2 linked regions of the Macaca mulatta genome follow. The main gene of each other region encodes a partner of the protein of the gene in region 2 in a complex. Links are inferred from orthologs where the notes say so. Each region holds a gene or a part of one and is shown on either strand. Other genes may lie near its edges.

What was found.
Region 1: the proteins of GNB1 (region 2) and GNA13 are in contact, whole or in part, in a cryo-EM structure (PDB 8H8J), measured with the Homo sapiens proteins. The link is inferred for Macaca mulatta from reciprocal best matches to the Homo sapiens genes GNB1 and GNA13. Residues at the interface, in NP_001269468.1 of Homo sapiens: Gly53, Leu55, Lys57, Tyr59, Gln75, Asp76, Lys78, Ile80, Thr87, Asn88, Lys89, Val90, His91, Ala92, Ser98, Trp99, Met101, Leu117, Asp118, Asn119, Tyr145, Asp186, Met188, Asp228, Arg314, Trp332; in NP_006563.2 of Homo sapiens: Ser31, Ile34, Asp35, Leu38, Glu41, Lys42, Val45, Lys50, Gly205, Ile206, Glu208, Lys219, Val221, Lys231, Arg232, Trp233, Phe234, Glu235, Cys236, Phe237, Asp238, Ser239, Val240, Arg279.

What each region holds. Positions count from the first base shown.
Region 1 is NC_133421.1:74,805,382-74,812,652, reverse strand, and holds the start of GNA13 (guanine nucleotide-binding protein subunit alpha-13), read left to right. Parts: upstream 1-2,390; 5' UTR 2,391-2,509; coding exon 2,510-2,792; exon of another isoform or gene 2,793-3,218; intron 3,219-3,327; exon of another isoform or gene 3,328-3,511; intron 3,512-5,361; coding exon 5,362-5,588; intron 5,589-5,728; exon of another isoform or gene 5,729-6,231; intron 6,232-7,271. UniProt on the Homo sapiens protein: Guanine nucleotide-binding proteins (G proteins) are involved as modulators or transducers in various transmembrane signaling systems.
Region 2 is NC_133406.1:238,896,716-238,903,228, reverse strand, and holds part of GNB1 (guanine nucleotide-binding protein G(I)/G(S)/G(T) subunit beta-1), read right to left. Parts: intron 3,989-6,513; coding exon 3,925-3,988; intron 1,712-3,924; coding exon 1,549-1,711; intron 1-1,548. UniProt on the Homo sapiens protein: Guanine nucleotide-binding proteins (G proteins) are involved as a modulator or transducer in various transmembrane signaling systems.

The DNA of each region.
Region 1 (7,271 bases), on a different chromosome or scaffold from region 2:
ACTAATTTTTGTATTTTTAGTAGAGATGAGGTTTCACCATGTTGGCCAGGCTGGTCTCAAACTCCTGGCGTCAAGTGACCTGTCCGCCTCAGCCTCCCAAAGTGCTGGGATTACAGGCATGAGCTACTGTGCCTGGCCCTCTTTTTCTTTCTTTCTTCCTTCCTCCTTCTTCTTCTTCCTTCATTTGACTTTCAGGTCAAAGAGGTCTCTTTTAAAAAACTACACTGAGTAGAAGAGCCAGACTCGATGTGAGCCAAGTTTGTTCCAAGGCAAGCTTACACGCAGGACTTTGAATAGCTTTCTCTGCTGCTCTGCATGTCACAACATGAACTGGCTGGGCAGGAATACCTTCCTGCCTCCTAGGCATTCTTGGTTTTCCATTATGTTACACACACTTCTGAAAAAAGATGTTAACTACCAACCTACAAGTTTCTCTCCTCTGTCTTTGTTGGAGTTCAGATTAGCACCTGGGGTCAATGCAAAAACAGTGCTTGGGGACAGGTTCTATGCCCCAATCCTAGGAGAGGCGAGTCCTTGCATGCTGAGAACAGGGCCTCCCAAACACTAGATGGGATGATGGAGAAATTCTCCATCCAGGGCAGGCTTTTACCATATATTTTGCCTGACAGCACTGCTCAGTGATTCTGACTCTATCAATCCACAGATATCGGAGGTGAGCCTACTGTACTTATATACCGTATGTTGTCCAACCTCCAGGCTTGCCAGAGCCACAGGAGATAATCCTACTACAGGCATTGTTTACTGCAGCCAATCTACTGAGTTGAGGCTTCTCAGTCATTAACCCAACCCCAGACAGTAACTGACTAGTACCGATTTTAAAATTTAAACCTGTTCAGGAGTTTCTTGGCATGCTGACCTCTTACCTCAGCTCCCTCACACATAGGAAGTTTCTGAGCCACAGAAGCCCAAAGCTATGTTGCATTGCCAAAAACAAGGACAGACCAAAGTGGCTTTTTCCACTTGAAACTAAATACTAAGAATGAAGAGGTCGGTTTTAGGGGGTCCCGGTTAAGCAGTTTCTCTGCCAACCCACAGCAGTCCCTTGAGGCTTCTCTCCTGGCCTCCTTTCAGGTGTCCTGGCCTGAATCTGCCATTAGGAAAGAAAAAAAGTCCCCTGACGGGTCATATCCTCTGTAATCTGGCAGGAAAGCTAAAATGTGCGTGCTCCCATTCCTCGTTGTGTTTGTGTATTTGCTTCCTTGTTGGGAAGAGCCTGCATCACAGTGTCCGGTGTAGGGGATTTTCACCATGACCTCACCCTCCTGCTGCCACTCACTAATTCCGGCTCGGCCAAGCGTCCCCGAAGTCACATCACAGCCCAGGTGGAATGCACGAGTGAGCCATTAACAGTCCCTCGTAGCACGTCTCAGGTGAACATCAACTTCAGTTCTTTCCCCTCATAGATGGCCCTGGCAGGGGTCTGAAAATGCCAGAAAGAGCTGGAAGTGGGGGTGGATGACGTCTCGTTACCGTTCTGGGATTTGAAGACTAGAGAAGGTCAAGGGAATCACCTTAAGAAAACACATCAGGCCAGGGCCCGCTGGCTCTGTCTGGAATCCCCGCACTGTGGGAGGCCAAGGCTAGAGGACTGCTTGAGCTCAGGAGTTCGAGACCAGCCTGGACAACATAGGGGAAGACCCCTGTATCTAAAAATAAATACAAAAAATTAGCCGGGTGTGATGGCACACGCCTGTAATCCCAGCTACTCGGGAGGCTGAGACGGGAGGATGGCTTGAACCTGGGGGGCGGAGGTTGCGTGAGTCGAGATCGCGCCACTGCACTCCAGCCTGGGCGACAGGGTGAGATTCCGTCTCAAAAAATAAAAAATAAAATAAAATAAAATAAAGAAAATGCACCAAAGGCCTGCCAGGCTCACGCCAGCTGTTCTGTTCAAATAACTTTCGAGTTCGTGGCCTCGAAATGGGTCGGGTGGGCGGTAACAGCGGGCAGCGGGCGCGCAACGCGGGAGAAAGGGCGGCTGAGTGGGAGCCCAAAGAGGCGCGTCCGGGACCTGGTCTCCGGCCTCCAGGCCTCGGGCAAGCCCTTCTGCCCACAAGTAGGTTCAGACCATGAAAGGGAAACAGAAAGTTGTGCTCCCTAGCCCGGCCCACGTGACCGCGGTTCCTCATCCCTCCCCGTGGGCACCCGAGCGACACACCGAGCGCGTGACTCGCCGCCCAAGGCGGGAGGCGGGGGAGCGGCCAGGGCGTGCGCGCGCGCCTCCGGGAGACAGCGGGAGCGCGCACGCTCCGGGGCCACCGCCCCTCCCGGGCCGGGCCCGCCCTCCTTCCCTCCCTCCCCCGCTCTCCTGGCCCGCCCTGCTCGGCCCGCCCTGCGAGTCAGTTCGCTGGTTCCCTCCCTCCCTGGGCGCGCTCGGGCCGCCACCGCGCACCCCGCCCTCGAGCCGCGGTGCCGGAGCCGCCCGCCGCCGGAGGAGGAGGTGGAGGGAGCCGGAGGGGCCCGCCGAGGCGGCGGCGGCGGCGGCAAGATGGCGGACTTCCTGCCGTCGCGGTCCGTGCTGTCCGTGTGCTTCCCCGGCTGCTTGCTGACGAGCGGCGAGGCCGAGCAGCAACGCAAGTCCAAGGAGATCGACAAATGCCTGTCTCGGGAAAAGACTTACGTGAAGCGGCTGGTGAAGATCCTGCTGCTGGGCGCAGGCGAGAGCGGCAAGTCCACCTTCCTGAAGCAGATGCGGATCATCCACGGGCAGGATTTCGACCAGCGCGCGCGCGAGGAGTTCCGCCCCACCATCTACAGCAACGTGATCAAAGGTGCCGGGCCGGGAACGGGGTCCGGGGGTTAGGGGCCAGGGGGCTGGGGCGGCGGCGGGCGCGCGGCCGGGCACCGCCCTCGTCCGCTCTGTCGCTGGCGGAGGACCGGGCCCGGCGGGCGGGCTGGCGGGAAGGGGGCGCGCCCCGGGAACCGACCCTGCCCGCCCGGGGTGCCCTCGGCCCCCAGGCAAGAGGATGCTCGGGGTCGCCCTGCTCTCCTCCTTGTCTCCCCGGTGGGCGTCACGGCCATTCCCCCACCCCCCACCGCGTCCTGGTCTCGCCCCCTACGAGAGGGAAGTGGGGCGAGCTGGGTGCTGCCTCGGGGTGTGGGGAGACCTCTTCTGTCCTCCCCGCTGCGGATGAGGCAGGAAGACCGAACGGCAGCCCCAGCCGCTTCACCCCCATCCCCTGCTCGGGCGATGTGGGCCGAACCTCGTTACCCCGCTGGGTGACCCCAGTCACATGGGGTCGCGTGCGCTCCCAACTCCCTGTTTCCTTGGCAGTCTCCTAAGCAAGCGAGTTCTGGAACCGTCGCAATAAGGGAACTTTTTCCCCCGATACTTCTTGTCAAGGGCGTAGGGTGACAGCCTCCTTTTAAGCAAGGATATGAAACTTGAGAGAGTGTCAGGTTGACCGTACTGGAATCAGAAGAGAATGGACCCGTACAGTTAGTCTGAAAAAGTAGCCTCTGTGCTTTTTCGCCCCAGTGTCACGGTCAGGTAGGATGTTTACGTGTAATTTCTGTGCAACACGTTCCACTCTCCTTTTCGCTAAGTAACTGGGAGCTGGCGGGAAGGGAGTACCACTACTTCTGTTTAGATGAAATGTAGTGGTAAGAAGACTGGCCTAAAAGTCATGTGGATGCTGTACAGATGGAAACAATGAATGAGTGTTGAGTTAGATAATTGGTTCTGCCCTTTATTGACAGTAGTTTTAAAATTAAACTTTGTTCTTAAGTTAAAAACAAGTTGTTTATTTCTGGGCATTCAAAGAAATAAAAAAGACGGTTTTTGTCATTTGAAAGATAATTAACACTCGTGTTTCTGTGTGTCAGGTGTGTTCTATAGAAAAGACATTTTGGCAGAATTTAGGTGCAGAGCCTGGTACCTCAGGTGCATCTGGATTTTATTTTATCTGGGGAGCAGTTTAGGAGTTTGCTACAGATTGCAGGTCCTTTTAAGTGGGATTTTTTGGTCAGGAAGTACATAAGGGAATTCTTAATGTCACCCCGCTCCCCCACCTTCCAGCGTTTGGGTAAAGGAAAAACTGCCTGAAGAGCCAGGCATTGTGGAGTAATGAACTAGAGAGAATCACTAGACCACAGCCCGCTGTAGCCCTAGTGCCTCTGCAGTTAAACTATAAAGAACAGTTGTATTTATCCTGCTGTAATGTTTAGCACAAAACTAATTAAGGTCTCTTTCAAGGCTGCAGACTCTGCCTTGACAGTCCTTAATTGAAGGAACCTTTGTAACCTGATGCAGCTGAACTTAAGGAATTATGTTAATGAATAGCATCAGCATGTTAACTGATTGTGAGCCAGGTAAACACCTCTTCTTAATGTACACTGAGTTGTAAGTGTGATCTACTTGAGCATTGTTGCGAGATGATGTAAGTCGTCAGGAATCTAGTTTTTCCGAGTTGACATGAAATTTGACAGAAGAACAGTTTTTCAGGCTGGGCGTGGTGGCTCACTCCTGCAATCCCAGCACTTTGGGAGGCCACAGTGGGAGGATGGCTTGAGCCCAGGAGTTCCAGACCAGCTGGGCAACATAGCCAGACCTCGTCTCTATTTAAAAAAAAAAAAAAAAAAACCCAAAAAACACCAGTTTTTCAGTTATTCAAACAGATGACTTCCTAATAGCCAAGTGACTGTTCAGATTGATCAAAGGTAATGAAAGTAGTAAATCAGTGATATGAAATATGAGTTTGAACTAACTAACCTCTGTGAGCTGGAGTCCGATTTTGTATTATTTTGCAGTTGCTCTTCCTCCCTTTTAGGGAAATTGAAGGCCGTCCTGTGACTTAAACTGGATTGAAACTTAGGCTGGAAGAAGTTTTTAAATTTTGAATGTGTTCCTAGAAGACTCAATGTTGGGTTACGGTGCCGAAGGAACAAACAGAACATGGAGCTATAATGTAATAGTTGGTTCTTAGTGTGTCATAAATGAACATCTTTTAGGCTCGTAAAATCTTGGTTGTGTCCGTTTTCTTGTGAGCTTGGACATTGGTCTGTGCAACATAAGTTCTTTTTCCTTCTTGAGTTGGGTTCTTTTTTGACTACCTTCTACCCCAGAAGTTATTTTATAAATTGGAACATGTTAAAAATCCTTCAGAAAGAGGAATTGTGCTAATAGTATTTGCTTTTCAAGGCTCTAATTTTAAGACAGTGAGCAACTGTTATTTTTTTTTAACCTCTGAGAAGTTACATTTGTTTTTAATGTTGGTCTTCATTTTTGAAGATTTGTCTGGGATAATTCAGAAGTGTAAGGAAATAATACTGAAATAAAAACTTATGATAATATGTAATGACTCCTCTCCATACATTTTTTTTTCTTCTTTTTGAACAAAGGTATGAGGGTGCTGGTTGATGCTCGAGAGAAGCTTCATATTCCCTGGGGAGATAATTCAAACCAACAACATGGAGATAAGATGATGTCGTTTGATACCCGGGCCCCCATGGCAGCCCAAGGAATGGTGGAAACAAGGGTTTTCTTACAATATCTTCCTGCTATAAGAGCATTATGGGCAGACAGCGGCATACAGAATGCCTATGACCGGCGTCGAGAATTTCAGCTGGTAAGAGATTTGCTCTTTTAAAACGTGTGGTTTTATTTTAGCGACGTTTAGTAATACAGGTTGCACATCCCTAATGCGAAAATTCGAAATGCTCTCAAATCTCAAAGTATTTGAGTTGGAGGAGCAGACTGAGAGGCTAAGGGATAGACCTAATGTGTCCTAGTCTGTAATGACTACTTGTAAAAATAGTGCATAAAATTACCTTTAGGCTACATGTCTTAAGGTATATATGAAACATAAATGAATTTCTAGTTTAGACTTGAGTCCCACTCCCAGCATATCTCTTGTGTATGCAGATATTTCAAAAATCTGAAAAAATTACAAATCCAAAACACTTCTGGTCCCAGGCATTCAGATAAGGGATGCTCAACCTGTATCTGATTTTAGCACACCTTTTTCACTGACTTCCATAATATAATGTATCTATCCAAAATTGTAGCCTCAGAAATTTGTTTTTTTGGGGTTTATTTTGACATGGAGTCTCACTGTGTTGCCTAGGCTACAGCGCAGTGGCGTAATCTTGGCCCACTGCAACCTCTGCCTCCAGGGTTCAAGCAACTCTCGTGCCTCAGCCTCCTGTGTAGCTGGGTCTACAGGCACGTTCCACCACACCTGGCTAATTTTTGTCTTTTTAGGAGAGGCAGTTTCACCATGTTAGCCAGGCTGATCTGGAACTCCTGACCTCAAGTGATCCGCCCACTTTGACCTCCTAAATTGCTGGCGTTGCGCCAGGCACTTTTCCCCTTTTTCCTTAAAGGAGACTACCCATAAAATACTTTGTAGCTGTTACACAACATTGAAGACAGGTTTGGAAAAAAAGTATCCAGTCCAGGTTAAAAATACAGAATACAGTTGAAACAGATTTTTAATCAAGTGTTTGGTACTTTAACTGTGAATGCTGTGATTGGGTTTTATTTGCCAAAGGCCAGAAAGATTCCAGCAGTGATAGAAATCTAGACTGTATGCCATTTGGAAGTAATTCAGATCTGAAGTGTTTTACTCTAGTATGATTAAAATGGAGTCACAGTTAAAAGTAAAACTGCTGGGTGGGTGCGGTGGCTCATGCCTGTAATCCCAGCACTTTGGGAGTCTGAGGCGGGTGGATCACCTGCCTGATGTCAGAAGTTCGAGACCAGCCTGGCCAACATGGGGAAACACCATCTCTACTAAAAAATACAAAAATTAGCCGGGCATGGTGGCAGGCACCTGTAATCCCAGCTACTCAGGAGGCTGAGGCAGGAGACTCGCTTGAACCCAGGAAGTGGAGGTTGCGGTAAGCCGAGTTTGCTCCACTGCACTCCAGCCTGGGCAATAAGAGCAAAACTCCGTCTCCAAAAAAGTAAATAAATAAACTGCTTAGGAAGTTGTTTGATGATGTCACCAACATTAATCCACATTAATGGGTGTGGCTACAAGGTGATGTACAACCAGCCATCCTTGCTGTTATTATTTGTACTTAGAAGCAGTCTTGCCTTTTAAAAGTTCTAGGAAAGTGTTCCTGATAGCTTTTTATAAAACTGACACCTTAATTTTGACTATATCTGTCATTCAACTAGCATTGGATTATTTACCGTCTTGTATAGTTCTCTTCTATCATGTTTGTATCTTGTCTTTTCAAGTAATGTGTTTATTTCTGTCTCACATTGTTGTTAAAATGAATAGCTGCCAGTATTGCATGTTGAA
Region 2 (6,513 bases):
TTCGAGACCAGCCTGACCAACATGGCAAAATCCTGTCTCTACTAAAAATACAAAAATTGGCCAGGCGTTGTGGTGCACATCTGTAATCTACTCGGGAGGCTGAGGCAGGAGAATCGCTTGAACCCAGGGGGTGGAGGTTTCAGTGAGCTGAGATCACACCACTGCACTCCAGCCTGGGTGACAGAGGAGGACTCCATCTTAAAAAAAAAAAAAAAGACAATATTAAAAATATGTGTGTGATGCAGCTAAAGCCATGCTTAGAGGGAAATTTAAAAATTTAAGTGATTATATCTGAAAAGGAAGCAAACCAGTGGCCTACAAATCTACTTTAGGCAGCTGGAAAATTAAGAAGAAGGCAACTCCAAAGTAAGCAGAAGGCAGGAAAGAACCAAGAACAGAAATCAACAATAGCAGCATATCTTTCAAAGGACAAGGTTATACTTGTAATCTGGCCAAAATTAACTTATTTATCAGACTGCTTAATAGGCGTCAAAAGCAGTACTACTGACTCCATGAACTGATTTCTTTGGCTGCATGTGAAGTGGGCGGAGTGTTACCAAAAAGTACTGGGGCCATAACATTTCTGAGAACAGATAATACAGCCAGAGAGGTAAAATATATTAGAATAGGACATCCTCTTTCAGCAAACGTATGCCTTTCATGATGAATTAGTGTCACAAGTAAACAAAATCTTGGTGAGATAATAGACTACCTAGCACTTACAGCCACAGGGCTCTATTCTGCCTCATTTGCAGAGACAGGGTCTCACTTTCACCCAGCCTGGAGTGCAGTAGTGCAATCATAGCTCCCTGCAGCCTCAACCACCCAGGCTTGAGCCATCCTCCCGAGGAGCTGGGACCACAGGTGTGCGCCACTGTGCGTGGCTAAGTTTTTCCTTTTTTGTAGAGAAGGGGTCTAAGTTTTGTTGTCCCAGCTGGTCTCGAACTCCTGGCTCCAAGCTATTCTCCTACCTTGGACTCCCAGAATGCTGTAATTACAGGCATGAGCCACCATGTCCAGCGCAAATCCACAGGTTCCTTACTGGTAAAGGCACGTCAGGCCTGTTTTTAGTTTCATTTTCAGAAGACTTCTGGCCATTACTGTGACTTTTATTTGAACCAGTCTCATTAATAATGATTGATAACGCCGGGCGCAGTGGCTGACGCCTATAATCCCAGCACTTTGGAAGGCTAAGGCAGGCGGATCATGAGGTCAGGAGTTCAAAACCAGCCTGGCTAACACGGTGAAACCCCATCTCTACTAAAAATGCAAAAAGAAATTAGACGGGCGTGGTGGCAGGTGCCTGTAGTCCCAGCTACTCAGGAGGCTGAGGCAGGAGAATGGCGTTAACCCGGGAGGCAGAGCTTGCACTGAGCCAAGATCATGCCAATACACTCTAGCCTGGGCGAAAGAGCAAGACTCCACCTCAAAGAAAAAAAATAATAATAATAATTAATAAATGACTGATAAAAGGTGCATATCCAAAGCATATAATGTACTCCAGCTAAACAGCTTGTGTCACTTGAAGGTTATGAACAAGGATGGTACCTGTGTGTCCTGCCAGCTCACGACTCACGCGCACGTTCCCCTCACGAGTTTTCAGATTGTAAATGGAGCAAATGTTATCCAGGCCACCGCAGGCCACATAGTTCCCAGAAGGGGCGTATGCACAGGTCATGACCCAGGAGGAGCGCAGAGGGATGGCGTGGACCTAATGACAGAAACACAGATGATGCAAACACCTTTATGTTCAAAAACAACACTGACGCTAGGATTATCTCATCTCCAACTTTCATTGCATAGGAGGTAACAGAACAAAATAAGAGCCAAAATTATCTAGAGAGTAATTCCCATGAGTGGCCACTCAGGTGAAGCCTATTAATGAGAAGTCCAGTGCTGCACATGGGATTCAAATTCAATCCACACAATCCAGTTTTACTAAAGTCACGACTTATGATTAGGTGGGGACTTAATAGTAGTGCTGCCTACTCATCAAAACTACTTTATTAGGTGGGGTGCGGTCATTCACACCAGTAATCCCAGCACTTTGGGAGGCTAAATTGGGCAGATCACCTGAAGTCAGGAGTTCAAAACCAGCCTAGCCAACATGATGAAACTCCGTCTCTACTAAATATATCAAAATTAGCCGGGCATGATGGCGCCTGCCTGTAGTCCCAGCTATTCGGGTGGCTGAGGCAGGAGAATCACTTGAACCTGGGAGGCAGAGGTTGCAGTGAGCTGAGATCATGTCACTGCACTCCAGCCTGGGCAACAGAGCGAGACTCCGTCTCACAAGAAAACAAACAGGCCGGGCGCAGTGACTCACACCTGTAATCCTAGCACTCTGGGAGGCTGAGGCGGGTGGATCACCTGAGGTCAGGAATTTGAGACCAGCCTGGCCTCAAATTGGTGAAACCCCATCTGTGCTAAAATACAAAAATTAGCTGGGTATGGTGGTGGGCGCTTGTAATCCCAGCTACTCAAGGAGGCTGAAGCAGGAGAGTTGCTTGAACCAGGGAGGTGGAGGCTGCAGTGAGCAGAGATCACGCCACTGCACTCCAGCCAGGGCGATAAGAGCAACACTCTGTCTCAAACAAACAAACAAACAAAAAAAAACCCAAAAAACCCCATATATATTAGAAGGAAAACACTGCATTACCCTGTCAAATGGCTATGAACTTATTTGAAAACAAAACTTTTTTTTTTTCTTTTGAGATGGAGTTTCGCTCTTGTTGCCCAGGTTTGAGTGCAGTGGCGCAATCTAGGCTCACTTGCAACTTCTGCCTCCCGGGTTCAAGTGATTCTCCTGCTTCAGCCCCCTGAGTAGCTGGGATTACAGGCGCCTGCCACCACACCTGGCTAATTTTTTGTATTTTTAGTAGAGAATGAGGTTTCACCATGTTGGCTAGGCTAGTCTCAAACTACTGACCTCAGGTGATCCACCTGCTTCAGCCTCCCAAGTGCTGGAATTACAGGTGTGAGCCACCGCACCCGGCCGAAAACAAAATATTTTTACGGAATAAACGAAATGGACATTACTATAATCTATCCTGCCACATCTCTCCCAGTGTGTTATATCTGCTGTAATGAATGTAACCATTTATACACATTTAGTATTCTTTAGTAAACTGAATAACATCTTTTACGTATATGTTGGGACCAATGACAATACTTTTTTTTTTTTTGAGACGGAGTCTCGCTCTGTCGCCCAGGCTGGAGGAGTGCAATGGCAGCATCTCAGCTCACTGCAAGCTCCGCCTCCCAGGTTCATGCCATTCTCCTGCCTCAGCCTCCCGAGTAGCTGGGACTACAGGCACCCGCCACCGCGCCCGGCTAATTTGTTGTACTTTTGGTAAAGACAGGGTTTCACTTTGTTAGCCGGGATGGTCTCGATCTACTGACCTTGTGATCTGCCTGCCAGAGCCTCCCAAAGTGCTGGGATTACAGGCATAAGCCACCATGCCCAGCCAACAATACTTTTTATTCAAAACAGTACAATTTGGATTAAGTCTTGAAAATAACATACATTACACTTTAAAGTATGATGATCTCTCCTAAAAAACTAATAATTAAATGAAAAGTGATACTTCTGCACTCTATAAATAAAACATGAAACTTCCCAGACTCTGCTAAAACTGGAATTGAGGTCTCCTGGAAACACAGAAGGTCCTTAGCTCCCATCAGCTTGGTAAGGAGATAACGGAAAATAGCACAACAGCACCTGGTTCAGAGGAAGAGACTGTCACAGGTGCTGGCATGTGACTCAGCTTGTGTCTCACCTGCACAACCTCACTACTAACAAACAGAGCTTGCCGTTACTGCCTTCCCTATCTTGTATTATGTGATTTAACAAAAAAGACTCCAGAGCTTAAAATACTGTTTCCTAGGTGGGTTTTCCAAGGAAGGGAATTTTCCAGTCCCTACCTTGTTGGTGGTGTAGCTGTCCCAGATGATAAGTTTACCATCCTGCGAGGCACTGACGAGAAGCCTGGAGGGACAGACAAAAGCAAACCTATCAGTACCACATAACACAGAAAGTGTACAAGGGCAACAGACTAAAACCCAGACTCTGGTGACTTAAGTGCTTCTATGTTACATGTGCTTCAGACAAAGCCACTTATTATAAGAAAAAAAATCTCTGGTCGGGCACAGTGGCTCACGCCTGTAATCCCAACACTTTGGAAGGCCGAGACAGGCAGATCACGTGAAGTCAGGAGTTCAAGACCAGCCTCGCCAACATGGCAAAACCCTGTCTCTACTAAAAATACAAAAATTAGCTGGGTATGGTAGTGCGCGCCTGTAATCCCAGCTACTCGGGAAGCTGAGGCAGAAGAATTGCTGGAACCTAGGAGGCGGAGGTTACAATGAGACAAAATCATGCCACTGGACTCCAGCCTGGGCAACAGAGCAAGGCTCTGTTTCAAAAAAGACAGACAGACAGACAGAAAGACAAGACAGAAAGAAAGACGGGAAGAAGGGACGAAGAGGAAGAGGAGAGGAGAGGAGGAAGGAAAGGAAGGCTCTAAATGTCAGACCAACTTTAAAAGCATGAACAAAAACACTGTTACAGACCACAGTTGAGAGTGGAGAGTGCACAGCCCCCAACTGAATGCAGGCCACATCACCCCTGGCACCCATTCCCTTTGTCAGCTGAGACAGGCTGACATCATTTCATAACTGCTTCTGTTTAGTTTCATTACAAATCAAATTAGAGGCTCATGTCTTTAATCCCAACACTGGGAGGCCAAGGTAGGCGGATCACAGGAGTTTGAGACCAACATGGCTAGCATGGTAAAATCCCATCTCCACTACAAAAATACAAAAACATAGCTTGGTATGGTAGTGCATGCCTGTAATCCCAGCTACTCAGGAGGGTGAGGTGGCAGACTGCTTGAACCCAGGAGGCGGAGGTTGCAGTAAGCCAAGATTGCACCACTGCACACTAGCCTGGGCAACAGAGCGAGACCCTGACTGGAAAAAACAAAAACAAAAACAAAACAAATAAACGAAAAAACAAACCACATTTAAGACATTCCAAATTCATGAAACATTTCTCACCAAAATACCCCATGAAATTTCCCAGACTGAGCTAAAATTGGAATCAAGGTCTCCTAGAAACCAAAGGAGGCACTCCCTCCTCACCTGCTTGGTAAACAACAGCACCACTGCGCCTGGTCCGGCAGCAGAGACCAGTAACTATCACAAATTTTTTCTTTTTTTTTTTTGAGATGGAGTCTTGCTCTGTTGCCCAGGCTGGAGTGCAGTGGCACCATCTCAGCTCACTGCAAGCTCTGCCTCACGGGTTTCCACCATTCTCCTGCCTCAGCCTTCCGAGTAGCTGGGACTACAGGTGCCCACCACCTTGCACAGCTAAATTTTTTTGTATTTTTAGTAGAGACGGGGTCTCACCATGTTAGCCAGGATGGTATTGATCTCCTGACCTCATGATCTGCTCACCTCGGCTTTCCAAAGTGCTGGGATTATAGGCATGAGCCACCACGCCTGGCCTTTTTTGTTTTTGTTTTTGTTGTTTTTGAGACGGCTTCTTGCTCTGTCGCCCGGGCTGGAGTGCAGTAGCGTGATCTGGGCTCACTGCAAGCTCCGCCTCCCGGGTTCACGCCATTCTCCTGCCTCAGCCTCCTGAGTAGCTGGGACTACAGGCGCCCGCCACCTGGCCCGGCTAGTTTTTTGTATTTTTTTTAGTAGAGACGGGGTTTCACCGTGTTAACCAGGATGTTCTCGATCTCCTGACCTCGTGATCCGCCCGTCTCGGCCTCCCAAAGTGCTGGGATTACAGGCTTGAGCCACCGCGCCCGGCCTGTTTTTGTTTTTGAGACGAAGTTGTGCTCTTGTTGCCCAGGCTGGAGTGCAATGGCGCGTCGGCTAACCACAACCTCCACTTCCTGGGTTCAAGCAATTCTCCTGCCTCAGTCTCCAAAGTAGCTGGGATTACAGGCATGTGCCACCATGGCCAGCTAATTTTGTATTTTTAGTAGAGACGGGGATTCTCCATGTTGGTCAGGCTGGTCTCTAACTCCTGACCTCAGGTGACCCGCCCACCTCAGCCTCCAAAGTGCTGGTATTACAAGTGTTGAGCCACTGCGCCCAACCATGTATTTTTTCATAATTATTTCCTTGTTCTGGCAACGGTGCTCAGTTTGGAATCCACGTGTTGAAAAGGAGCTCCATACTACAAAGGAAAATATGAATAACGAGCAAAAGAATTTCACCTTAGCAGGCGAGTAATGTGGATGAAAGTAACTCCTGGGAACCACAGTTGCTCATGAGAGGTCCTAAGGAACTCTGTAGCATAGGATGCTGTTTTCAATGAAGAGCAAGAAGGTTCTACTGTTTGATGCAGAGATATCTGTCAGTACGGTAAATGATGGTATAAGGATTTTTACTTTTAAGGATTTTATCAAACGAGGGTTTTGTTTTTGTTTTTTTGAGACAGAGTCTCCCTCTGTCACTCAGGCTGGAGTGCACTGGCGTGATCTCGGCTCACTGCAAACT